Linked DNA regions of Macaca fascicularis. The protein of the gene in region 2 binds, or shares a complex with, the protein of the main gene of each other region. Links are inferred from orthologs where the notes say so. Each region holds a gene or a part of one and is shown on either strand. Other genes may lie near its edges. The genes, in order: TMEM237, TCTN1 and B9D2.

The links.
Region 1: TCTN1 (region 2) and TMEM237 share a complex: the UniProt entries of both Homo sapiens proteins name them as parts of the tectonic-like complex. The link is inferred for Macaca fascicularis from reciprocal best matches to the Homo sapiens genes TCTN1 and TMEM237.
Region 3: TCTN1 (region 2) and B9D2 share a complex: the UniProt entries of both Homo sapiens proteins name them as parts of the tectonic-like complex. The link is inferred for Macaca fascicularis from reciprocal best matches to the Homo sapiens genes TCTN1 and B9D2.

Annotation. Positions count from the first base shown.
Region 1 is NC_088386.1:97,454,439-97,458,633, forward strand, and holds the start of TMEM237 (transmembrane protein 237), read right to left. Parts: upstream 2,908-4,195; 5' UTR 2,783-2,907; coding exon 2,741-2,782; intron 2,498-2,740; exon of another isoform or gene 2,119-2,497; intron 2,097-2,118; exon of another isoform or gene 2,030-2,096; coding exon of another isoform or gene 2,012-2,029; intron 325-2,011; coding exon 293-324; intron 1-292. UniProt on the Homo sapiens protein: Component of the transition zone in primary cilia. Required for ciliogenesis.
Region 2 is NC_088385.1:117,512,609-117,516,257, forward strand, and holds part of TCTN1 (tectonic-1), read left to right. Parts: intron 1-1,073; coding exon 1,074-1,225; intron 1,226-3,649. UniProt on the Homo sapiens protein: Component of the tectonic-like complex, a complex localized at the transition zone of primary cilia and acting as a barrier that prevents diffusion of transmembrane proteins between the cilia and plasma membranes.
Region 3 is NC_088393.1:48,495,968-48,499,616, forward strand, and holds part of B9D2 (B9 domain-containing protein 2), read right to left. Parts: intron 3,509-3,649; coding exon 3,383-3,508; intron 492-3,382; coding exon 178-491; 3' UTR 1-177. UniProt on the Homo sapiens protein: Component of the tectonic-like complex, a complex localized at the transition zone of primary cilia and acting as a barrier that prevents diffusion of transmembrane proteins between the cilia and plasma membranes.

The DNA.
Region 1 (4,195 bases), on a different chromosome or scaffold from region 2:
AAGATCAGAATTCTGATTAAAAAAAAAAAAAAAAACACTAAAACAGTTAGAAAGGGAATGGATCCATTATCCTACCATGATGATATTCAGGCTTTTAAATTTAACATTCAATTTTAACTGCTATTCTTATAATTCAAGGATTTTTCACCTTTAAAATTTCAGAAAATCCCTAAATTTTTCAGAAGAGTTTCCAGAATCATTGTAATTTTGCAATGATACTAGTTAATTTTTCTACTGTCTTCGTTTTCCATTTTTAAAGCTCAATAATGAAATTACTGTAAATTATGTTTACCTTGGCACAGGTGGAAGGGCTCGTGGAGGACGCTGTGGGGGAAAAAAAGAAATTTGCTTGTAAGTAAAAGCCTAGAGCATCTTTACTTCATGTATCCCAAACACCATAAAGCTATTCTTTTTTTCCTTTTTTTTTTTTTTTTTTTGAGACAGAGTATTGCTCTGTGGCCCAGGCTAGAGTGCAATGGCACGATCTTGGCTCACTGCAACCTCCATCTACTGGGTTCAAGCAATTCTCCTGCCTCAGCCTCCCAAGCAGCTGGGATTACAGGCACCCACCATCATGCCCGGCTAAGTTTTGGTTTTTTAGCAGAGATGGGTTTTGCGATGTTGGCCAGGCTGGTCTTGAACTCCTGACCTCAGGTAATCCGCCCACCTTGGCCTCCCAAAGTGGTGGGATTACAAGAGTGAACCACTATGCCCGGTGAAACCACTTCTTTCAAAAGTCTGTTGTTCAGACATGACAGAAAAATATAATGGATCGGACCAGGATCTTCAAATCTTTTGATAATCTTGTTCATTAGTGAAACCTGGGAGGTACTGATGAGAAACATGGGCAATTTAAAATTTGTTCTCCCATTCTAAATTTCATATAAAATTATTTCCTTCCTACATTCCTTTCTATCTCTAGGCCAGGCCCTTTTCTAAGCATTAGGAGTACACTAATGAACAAAACGGAGAGAACTCTGCTTTTATGGAACTTACATTCTAGTGGTTATTAGAAACAAGGTTAAATATATATAATATATACTATATATTATATGCAGCATGTGTAACATATATATGCTATATTTAAGACATATATCTTGTATACATACCTTGTGTATATATACACAAACACAAACACACAAAACGTAATGAATGAAGGAGACTGAGTGCTACTTTTGTTAGGGAAAGTTTCTCTGAGATATTTGAGCTGAGACCTGAATGAGAAAGGAGCAACCGGAACAAATGCAAAGATTTTTAGGTTAAATTGGGCCTGGAATATTTCAGGTAAAAGGACAGCAAGGCTGCCGCACAATTGCCAAGGAGGTAGGCAGGAGCCAGATTTAGTTAGGGCCTTGCAGACCAAGGCAAGGAGTTTGGATTTTGTTTTAATTCAATGGGAAACCAATGGAAGTTTTAAACCACATACTAACACAAATTTTTAAAAGGCCACTTGAATATACTGGGAAGAATGCGTTTTAGGGCAGAAAGAATGGTGGGGGGAACCCTTCTAAACGCTCATTTATATGAATAAGAAAAGTGTTTGCAGTCAGAGAGCATTACAGTTGAGAAGTATTTTCAGAATTAGATACTAAGAGAAATGCCTAGAAGCCAATTTAATGTTCCAAGTATCTCATGCTGCTTGCATAAGACATTTATTCAAAAGGGTTAAATTTTAGACATTTTTGTAGTTTGTCCCATTTAGCAATCCATTCGTTCGAACAGTAGATTAACGCAAGTACTACAAGATTAGGACGAGGCAAGCTCCCGTAATACCATCCAGTAGTCAAAATCACAACTGGAAAAGAATGACAATCACGGGAACGCGCTTGTTCTACAGATGCTACGAAACGCGCGCGATCGATCCAAGGACTCAGTTCACGTAACTGATTTCAAAAGTCCCGCAAAAATGACATTCCACCCACCCAGAGACCCAACCTCTACTCCTCAAAAGTAGGACGGCTCAACTGAAGACAAAAATCCTAACAACTAAAAGTAGCTAAGGCTCGCTTACCACAGGATTCTTCCCCATTCTGTGTTTAGCCGGCCTCGGCAGCCGCCGGCCCGCAAGCACAGGGCGCCCCACCCCTCCCGGCTCTGTCGCGCGCGCAGGCGCAATGCGTCATCGGGCAGCGCCGCCGGGTGGGTAAGTTGGGGTGAGAGACGCGCAGGGACCTGGATTGGCCAGTCCAGACTAGCCCTGCCAAAAAAGGGGCCTCTGAGTTGGGGTAATGTGCCCAGGAGCAGAGATTCGGCGACCGTGGCGCTGCAATCGCAGCTTTCCCGTGGTTTCCTAAGTGGTCGCGGTGATTTGTTTGCGGGGAGCGAGGCGTGAGGGAAGACCTTGGTTAAAGGACTCCGCAGGCAAACAACGATCTTTTCTAGGCAGCTACTGCCCTCTCGGAGGGGGAGTCTATGAGAGGCCTGGCTGGAAGCCCCAGCACCCGCCGGGCGCTGGGCCTCAGAGAAGTGAGGCGTCGTCGTGGCAACGCGGGCTCAGGTACCCGCAAACTTCATGCCAGGCCTCTCTCCCCTACTCCAGGAGTTCGGTCCCGGCCTCGCCTGGGTCTCCGTCCCACTCCTGTGAATGCTGGAGGGGCGGACGCGCGCACCCCATGAGCAAGGCTCTCCCTTAGTGATCCCCAGCTCGTTAGCGCCCCCCCCCCCACACACACACCCCCACCCCGCCAAGTGTAGCTTTTACCCGCCACCCCTCGAGGCCGACGCGCCCCTCGCCGCTCACCAGGTGGCCCTCCTCCAGCCGAGCCCCCGAGTCAGCCCTCATGGTGCTCTCCCCGCGGGGCTTCCCCGGCGCAACCGCCGGCGGCCCGAGCCCAGCTCCCCGCGACGCTGCAGCCTGCGGGACGCCGGGGCTTCGTGGCGCCTGGCGTGGCCGCCTCCCCGTGAGCCAGGTCCCCGCCCGCCTCTGCCCTGCCAAGCATTGCTGGGTTTGGGACGAATGTGTTTACTCTCTAGGACCAACGAGTCTGTGCGGGCCTGGGTGTGTGGATGTGTATTAATATAGGCAATTCTCACATTTTCTCCGATTGCTTACCCTTCATCCCACAACTGTGTAAATCAAATTTGGAAAAACTTTTTCTTGAAGAACCTTAAAATCAAATCCGACCTCACATAAATATCATTACAAACTACTTAATTTGCATAGTTTTATTTGGTTAGGTTTTTTTTTTTTTTAAGATAACTTTCACTTTAAGTAACAGAACTACAAATATTTTGAATCATGCATTCTATTTTACAGTTAAGAAAGAGATGGGAAAGATGGAAGAATGATGTGGATATGGAGAAGAGAATGATGCAGAAGATGAACAGATACAGGGACAGGGAAAGCGCCTGGAAATCTCAAATCTGGGGGAAGAAAGAGAAACAGGACTTTGTAATGGCATCCTAATCTTGTTACCAAACAAACGGGGTTTGTTGCCCTATATGCACAGAAGCCAATATTATGATGCTGGTTTTTTGAGAAAAGTTGTTATTGCGAGTCAACTAACAAGGAGACAGGAGTATAGCTCTAATCTGTCTCCCTGTGCTGGCTTTAAGACAGTATTTTTATTAGAAAAGGTTTAGGGAATGGATTCTGGGATTAGTAAATGATTGGTGGAAGGAAAGAAGCCATCTGGAAAATCTTTTGGCGTTCGCGGTTACCTCTTCATGTCCCTTCATGGGTCGCATGTGCAAATTTTGGAGGGAGTCAGTATGAAACATGGGGGAAGACTCGAGCTGTAATGCCAGCAAGCTCATTTTGTACAGACTTCAGGTAGCCATCCGTGTTAGTCCTAACCAATTTCAGCCAGTTTGCTTTATTTTGTTTTTTAATCTCACAATAGAAGAAGTTTAGGCGTTTTAGCAAATTGTTTTTTATCTGCTGTCCTGCACGCTCAAGAATTTCTGTTAGTCCCTGGTTTAACTCTGAGACACGGTTTCAGTCTTGTGATTCTTCTATATATAGGTCTCCTGGACTAATCCATTGCCTTTTCTAATTTAGGCATGCATGTAGATATTGGCTGTAAGGAAAATTCGTGTTTGTCACACCTCTGATGAGAATAATTTTTTCCTTGTAGGCTGATTTGTAAATAGTGAAGGCAGTGCAGTTTTTTGTAGGTTTTGATTTTAGATGTGAAATGTGCATATTAAACCTTTCTTGCTGAATTAAGTAAGCACTTTTGGTAAAAGATGTTTT
Region 2 (3,649 bases):
TCCTTTTTTTCTTTTATTTTTACTAAGAATATTTGCATGAAAACAGGATCTTTATTTTTATCTGAGCATTTAGCTCAAATATATTTCTAGATCCAAAGTACAAGTGCATGTAAAATGTTATCAGGATATCAAAGATCAGAGACACATTTATGCTTTTATTTGTCAATTAAACTCTGTCATATTTTCAGAATATCTTTACAGATTTTGGTTTTATTCTCTTGTGATTGAACAGACAGATGCTCTGTGTGGTTTGTAGTCTGAAGTGATAACTGGCCAGTGACTCAGGTTCTCTGTTGTAACACCAGCCCAGTGAACATGCCAGCCTGCTCCCTTCTCTCTCTTCTGTACACAGCACATTTTTCTCCAGGACTTTCACAGTGGCTGTGTGAGAGTAGAAATCGGATTCTTTCATTCCCACAGGCATCCGGAGAGAGCTTCTCCTTACAGGTTGATACAGCAGACTCATCAGTCCATGGGCTAGAGAAATAGACAGATTATTATCGGCTTCTGTTGTGCTGTTCACTTGTAGATGCTATCAACTATTACTTCCCCATTATTAGAAGAAGCAGGCTGAGTCTGGAGGTCCTGTTTATTGAATAAGCTTTAAAAATTCCTGGGAGAAGTGAATATGGAAAAAGACACTTTTTTTTTTTTTTTGAGATGGAGTCCTGCTCTGTCGCCCAGGCTGGAGTACAGTGGCGCCATCTCAGCTCACTGCAACCTCTGCCTCCTGGGTTTCAGTGATTCTCCTGCCTCAGCCTCCTGAGTAGCTGGGATTACAGTTGTGCACCACCATGCCTGGCTAATCTTTGTATTTTTAGTAGAGACAAGGTTTCACCATTTGGCCAGGCTGGTCTCAAAACTCCTGACCTCAGGCGATCCGCCCACCTTGGCCTCCCAAAGTGCTGAGATTACAGGTGTGAGCCAATGTGCCCAGCCAAGACACTATTTGTTTTTTACATCAGCCTTAATGCTATTAAAAACTGTTTCCAAAACCTTTATATATATCATACATACTATACATATATTTTATACCGATTTAAAATACTGTTTTTTTTTTTAAAAAAAAACAGATAAGCCTGCATTATCCTTTATTAATCCAGAAGTACCTGATGAAAATAATTTTGATACATTGATGAAAACATCTGATGGTTTTACATTGAATGCTGAATCAGATATTTCCTTCACAACCAAACTGGATATTCCTACTACTGCTAAATATAAGGTGAGCCTGAACTTGATTGATTCTTTTCATCCCATCACAAATGTCTTGTCCTTGTAAGTTAATTTTCAGGTTACCAGCAAAACTGTCTTCGCTGAGACAGAGTTGATATTACAGACTAAATAACTTAATGTTCATGCCTACAAATCAAAGATCATGAAAATTAAAACTGAATATTTGAAGATGGATTAAAGACTTAAATGTAAGACCTAAAACCATACAAACCCTAGAAGAAAACCCAGGCAATACCATTCAGGACATAGGCATGGGCAAAGACTTCATGAGTAAAACAACCAAAAGCAATGGCAACAAAAGCCAAAATTGACAAATGGGATCTAATTAAACTAAAGAGCTTCTGCACAGCAAAAGAAACTATCATCAGAGTGAACAGGTGACCTACAGAATGGGAAAAAATTTTTGCAGTCTACCCATATGACAAAGGGCTAATATCCAGAATCTACAAGGAACTTAAATAAATTTACAAGGAAAAAACAACCCAATCAAAAAGTGGGTGAAGGATATGAACAGACACTTTTCAAAAGAAGACATTTATGCGGCCAACAAACCTATGAAAAAAAGCTCATCACTGGTCATTAGAGAAATGCAAATCAAAACCACAATGAGATACCATCTCACGCCAGTTAGAATGACGATTGTTAAAAAGTCGGGAAACAATAGGTGCTGGAGAGGATGTGGAGAAATAGGAACACTTTTACAGTTGGTGGGAGTGTAAATTAGTTCAACCATTGTGGAAGACAGTGTGGCGATTCCTCAAGGATCTCAAACCAGAAATACCATTTGACCAAGCAATTCCATTACTGAGTATGTACTGAAAGGATTAAAAATCATTCTGTAAAGACACATGCCCTTGTATGTTTATTGCAGCACTATTCACAATAGCAAAGACTTGGAACCAACCCAAATGCCCATCAATGATAGACTGGATGTAGAAAATGTGGCACATATACAACATGTAATACTAAACAGCCATAAAAAAGGATGAGTTCATGTCCTTTGCAGGGACATGGATGAAGCTGGAAACCATCATTCTCAGCAGACTAACACAGGAACAGAAAACAAAACACCGCATGTTCTCACTCATAAGTGGGAGTTGAACAATGAGAACACATGGACACAGGGAGGGGAACATCACACACCGGGGTCTGTTGGGGGGTGGGGGGCTTGGGGAGGGGATAGCATTAGGAGAAATACCTAATGTAGATGATGGGTTGATGGGTGCAGCAAACCACCATGGCATGTGTATATCTATGTAACAAACCTGCACGTTCTGCACATGTATCCCAGAACTTAAAGTATAATAATAAAAATAAAACAAAACTGAGTATTTGAATTCTGAATAGAGGATTTAAGGTTGTTTATTCTATGATAAACTTGTATTTTGTCTCTTCAGAGTTCTTTGTTCTCCTCAACCTTAAAAGATGTAGCAAAATGCTTGAGGCACGTTGCTGAGACCATGGAGTAGATTAGTTGGATACCTGGTCATCTTCTCAAAATTGTATTTAGTTTTACGGATTTTGGAAGATGTGTGCTGTTTTATGTCTATTCAGTAGTACATCTTTAAATGCAACACATATTAACTTTGAATGAACCTTAACTTTTTTGGAACCTTAACTTTTTTTAAAAGGAAAGTATGAAAAAAGTCGGGAAACAATAGGTGCTGGAGAGGATGTGGAGAAATAGTTCTAAAAGTTCAAAGTATAGAGGCATATAAGTAAAAGTTGAAAGATCCCTGTATCCATTAAAATTCATACTGCAAATCACTTTGAAAAGATTGGTGTGTATTCTTGCTGATTTTTAAATATGTCTATTATAATGTATATATGGTGTTGTACAGAAGTGGGATTTATAGCTATCCATGTTGTTCTAGAAAATTCCTTTTTCAGTGGTAAGTCATGTGCATCTTCCCATGTCAATATAAAATTTACCATTGAGCATTTTTCATGTTCTGGCACTGTGAAGAGCTTTTCAGGCATTACTTCATGCACCCCTCTGGGAAGGATACACCATTGTCTCCATTTACCTGATGAGAAAAACTTAGGCACGGGAAAGTAACTTGTCAGAACTAGTGATAGAGCTGCTGCTGCGGCCTTTTTTTTTTTTTTTTTTTTGAGACAGAGTCTTGCTCTGTTGCCCAGGCTGGAGTGCAGTGGTGTGATCTCGGCTCACTGCAACCTCCGCCTCTCAGGTTCAAGCGATTCTCCCACCTCAGCCTCCCAAGTAGCTGGGATTGCAGGCACCCACCATCATGATCAGCTAATTTTTGTATTTTTGTAGAGACAGGGTTTCACCATGTTGGCCAGGCTGGTCTTCAGCTAACTTTTGTGTTTTTGTAGAGACGGGGTTTCACCATGTTGGCCAGGCTGGTCTTGAACTCCTGACCTCAGGTGATCTGCTCACCTCGGCCTC
Region 3 (3,649 bases), on a different chromosome or scaffold from region 2:
ACTCTCCCCAATTTACAGATAGGGAAACTGGGCCCAGAGGGACCCAGAGGTCCTAGCAAGGACAGGAGTCCTTAGCTGGGGTCCAGCTCTGATGGTCTCCAGAGTCCGTGCTCCTGACCACTGTGCCTCACTGGGTGTCCAGGGTGTGGATGGTGGTGGCGTTGGAGACAGGGTCCCTCAGCACTCAACGCCATAGCGGTCGAAGTTGCGGAGCAGCAGGCTGATCTCCAGGTGCACGGTGCCACCAGCAGCTGTGTGCAGGCGATAGCGGTCGGCCCCACTGTAGATGGCGTCCCCATGCAGCAGCTGTGGCCCACCACCCACGAAAGCCCGTGCCAGCTGCTCTCGCCAACTGCCCAGGGGCCGCCAGGTGGGGCAGGCCAGCTGGTGTGTGCCCGGGCTGCTGGGCACATGGCAAAATCCATAGCCTGCAAGCTGGCAGCGGCCAAAGCTGTCCTGGGACCACACCTGGAAATGGAGCCGGGGCCAGCCTGCAGGAAAGCAGGGAGAGGGGAAAGGAGGGATGGGTGGTGACCAGACTCCTGCTCCTGATTCCCCCCTCCCTGATACTCACCGGAGACCCCAGGCCCAGTCCTTTCCTTTCTGGGTTTCTGTCCCAGGGTTTCCAACCCAGCCTCCTTTCTAGACTCCCATCTTCTCATCTATCCCCACACAACTGCCAGAGATCTTTCCAAATCCATGTTACTCCCCTGCTAAGGATCCTTCCATAGCTCCCCAGTGCCCTCACTATAAAGTCCAACCTCTTCAACATTCAAGGCCCTTCTAATCAGACCTCTGCTGAATTTCCTCTCTGTGTTATCCTCCTCCATGACCCCATGTCAGGGCAGCCCATTGCTCCTCCAGTCCCCAGGTAACCATCGTGGGTCTTGTCAGGGTCACCTCTTGCCTTCCCTCCTCATGTTCCTGCCCTGCTCTCTTTGGGCCCAGGGCCTTCTTTCTTGCCCCTCTCTAATCCACCTTCCACCTGGCATCTGGAAACATCTTTCCTTCCATAGCTTTGCCCATGTCCTCAGAACACAGTTCAGCTCCTCAGTCTAGTAGTCAAAACCCTTGGAGATCCAGCTCCATCTCATCTCATCTCATGCTGACCCCTTCCCCTGTGCCAGGCCCTGTTCTAGCTAGCTGGGGACACGGCGGACATGAACATGGATGGCAGACAAAAATTCCTGCCCCCGTGAAGCTGATATCCTAGACAACAAATGTAGTAAATAAGCAAATTATAGGTTAGATCGGATGGTGGTAATTGCTGTGGAGAAAAACAGAGCTGGGTAGGGTGAGGGTGGGGATATGGCTGTAGAAGGGGATCAAGGAAGCTTCACTAAGAAGGTGACATTTAAGCAAATGCTAAAAGGAAGGAAGGGAGTAGGCCATGTGGCCATCTAGAGGAAGAGTGTTCCCAGCCAGAGGGAACAGCAAGTGCCAGGGCCCTGAGAGGGGAGTGTCTGGTGGGGACGGCATGGCCGGAGCCCCGACAGAGTGTGCCTGGTGGGGATAGCATGGCTAGAGCAGAATGAGGTGAGGAGAAGGGAAGGAGGTGCCAGCCAGGTTGCGGAGAGCCTTGTGATGCATGCTAAGACTTTGGCTTTTACCCTGAGTGAGATGGGGACGACTGGAGGGTTCTGAGCAGAGCGGAGACAGGACCTTAGGTGTTCACAGGGTTCCAGCTGCATGTGGGGTGCAGATTAGCGGGGGTTGGGGAAGGGGGCCCCAGAGAAAAGATTACTGTCATAGTCCAGGTGAGAGATGAACTTGGACAGATCAAGATGCTGGGTGAGAAAAGGGTGAGAAGTGGGATTTAGGGTGTATTTCAAAAGTAGAGGCAGTAAGATTTCCTAATGGACAAAATGGGGGCTTGAGAAAAGAGAGAGCAAGGCTGGTGCCACCACTGGGGAACCGGAGGCCCCAAGAGCTGAAAGATTAGAGCTGCCCACCTCACCCGCACAGCACCGGAAAGTTTTTCTTTCCCCAGCTCCAGCTTAAAGGACAGAAAGATTATTTAAGAGTGAAATCTCGGCCAGGCGCGGTGGCTCACACCGATAATCCCAGCACTTTGGGAGGCCGAGGCAGGCGGATCACCTGAGGTCAGGAGTTCGAGAGCAGCCTGACCACCATGGTGAAATGCCATCTCTACTTAAAAGAAAAAAAAAAAAAAAGGCAAAAATTAGCCAGGTATGGTAAAACACAGCTGTAGTCCCAGCTACTCATGACGCTGGGGCAGGAGAATTGCTTGAACCCAGGAGGCGGAGGTTGCAGTGAGCTGAGATCTTGCCACTGCATTCCAGCCTGGGTAACAGAGCAACACTGTCTCAAAAAAAAAAAAAAAAAAAAGTGAAATCTCACTTGTCCATCACCTGCTCTGGCTCCCAAGTGCCTTCAGGAGATGGCCTCAGCTCCTCAGCCTGGCACTCGAGGTCCTGCATGAACTGTCCCCTGCTACCTTTCCCTGCTGCCGTCCCGCTCTCCCTCAGTGCGCTAGACACCCTTGGTTCACTCTCCCCTTTGAGTCTTCCACATGTAGCTCCCTCTGCCTAGAACCTTCTTCTATCCCTCTGCCTTATTAGCTTCCACTGGCCCTTCACAGCAAAGCGCAGAAGCCCCCTCCTCCAGGAAGCCCTCTGTGACCTCCCTGACAGAGTCAGGCACTTCCTGTGGGCTCCCACGGCCTCTCCAAATTGCCTATCTTAGTCCTGCCCACTCAGGTGCCACTGTCTGGAGAGAGGCGTGTCCCCTCCATAGGATGGTGAACTCTGTGAGGAGAAGGCTAAGGGGCACTGCCTTGATCCCCAGTGTCTCCCTGGCATCACCCAACACAGGCTGGACACAGGGCAGGCACCAGGTAAACATTCTTTATATTGGTGAAATATACGGCACATTTACCTAGGCAATTTCTCAGAATCGACTCATCTTCAGGAACCCACATTTCCTACCAAAAGGTTTTCTGATGCCGCTCCTCCCCCAGTACTGATTTCCCCTTTGAGCAGTGGCTCTACTTTCAAGCCGAGGAGCCCCTTCCTGGAGAAACAGCCCTTGCCTCTCTCAGACCCTGCCTCCCGGCTTCCTCTTTATTGGAAACTCTCGGTTTGTCTCTTTACTTGAATGCCACCTTCCCTCCCACCCTGACCCCCACCTTCCCATCTCCCGCTCCACCCTGGACTCTGCCCTAATCCTACAAACTTGGGATCGCCTATTGAGCAGGCCTGGGAAAGTCTTAGCTCAGCCTCTCCAGGGCCAGACTTGCTGCAAAAGGGACCCACGTGGTATGGGGAGCAGGGACAGGTCTTGGTGTTCCCAGACCGAGGGGCCTCAGAGGCTACTCGTCCCCTCCCCTCAGCCTGGCCCCGGGACCAGGTGTGGTACCCACCTTGAAGACCTTTGGTGGCGAAGTGCAGATCGATGGGGTGGGACCAGTAGGCCATGTCCCCTATCTGGGGGGTGTCCACCTGCGTTTGGCCCTCCCGCACGCCTGACAGGAGCTTCCACGCCGCCCCTGCAGTGACAGCGGGGACATAGAGGGGTGGGAGGCAGCCACTGGGAAGGGAATGCCACTGTGGCTATAGGACTGTTGCTCTGTGGCATCTACTGGTAGGGGTTATGAAGCGTGGACTCTGGAACCAAGTATCTGGGTTCA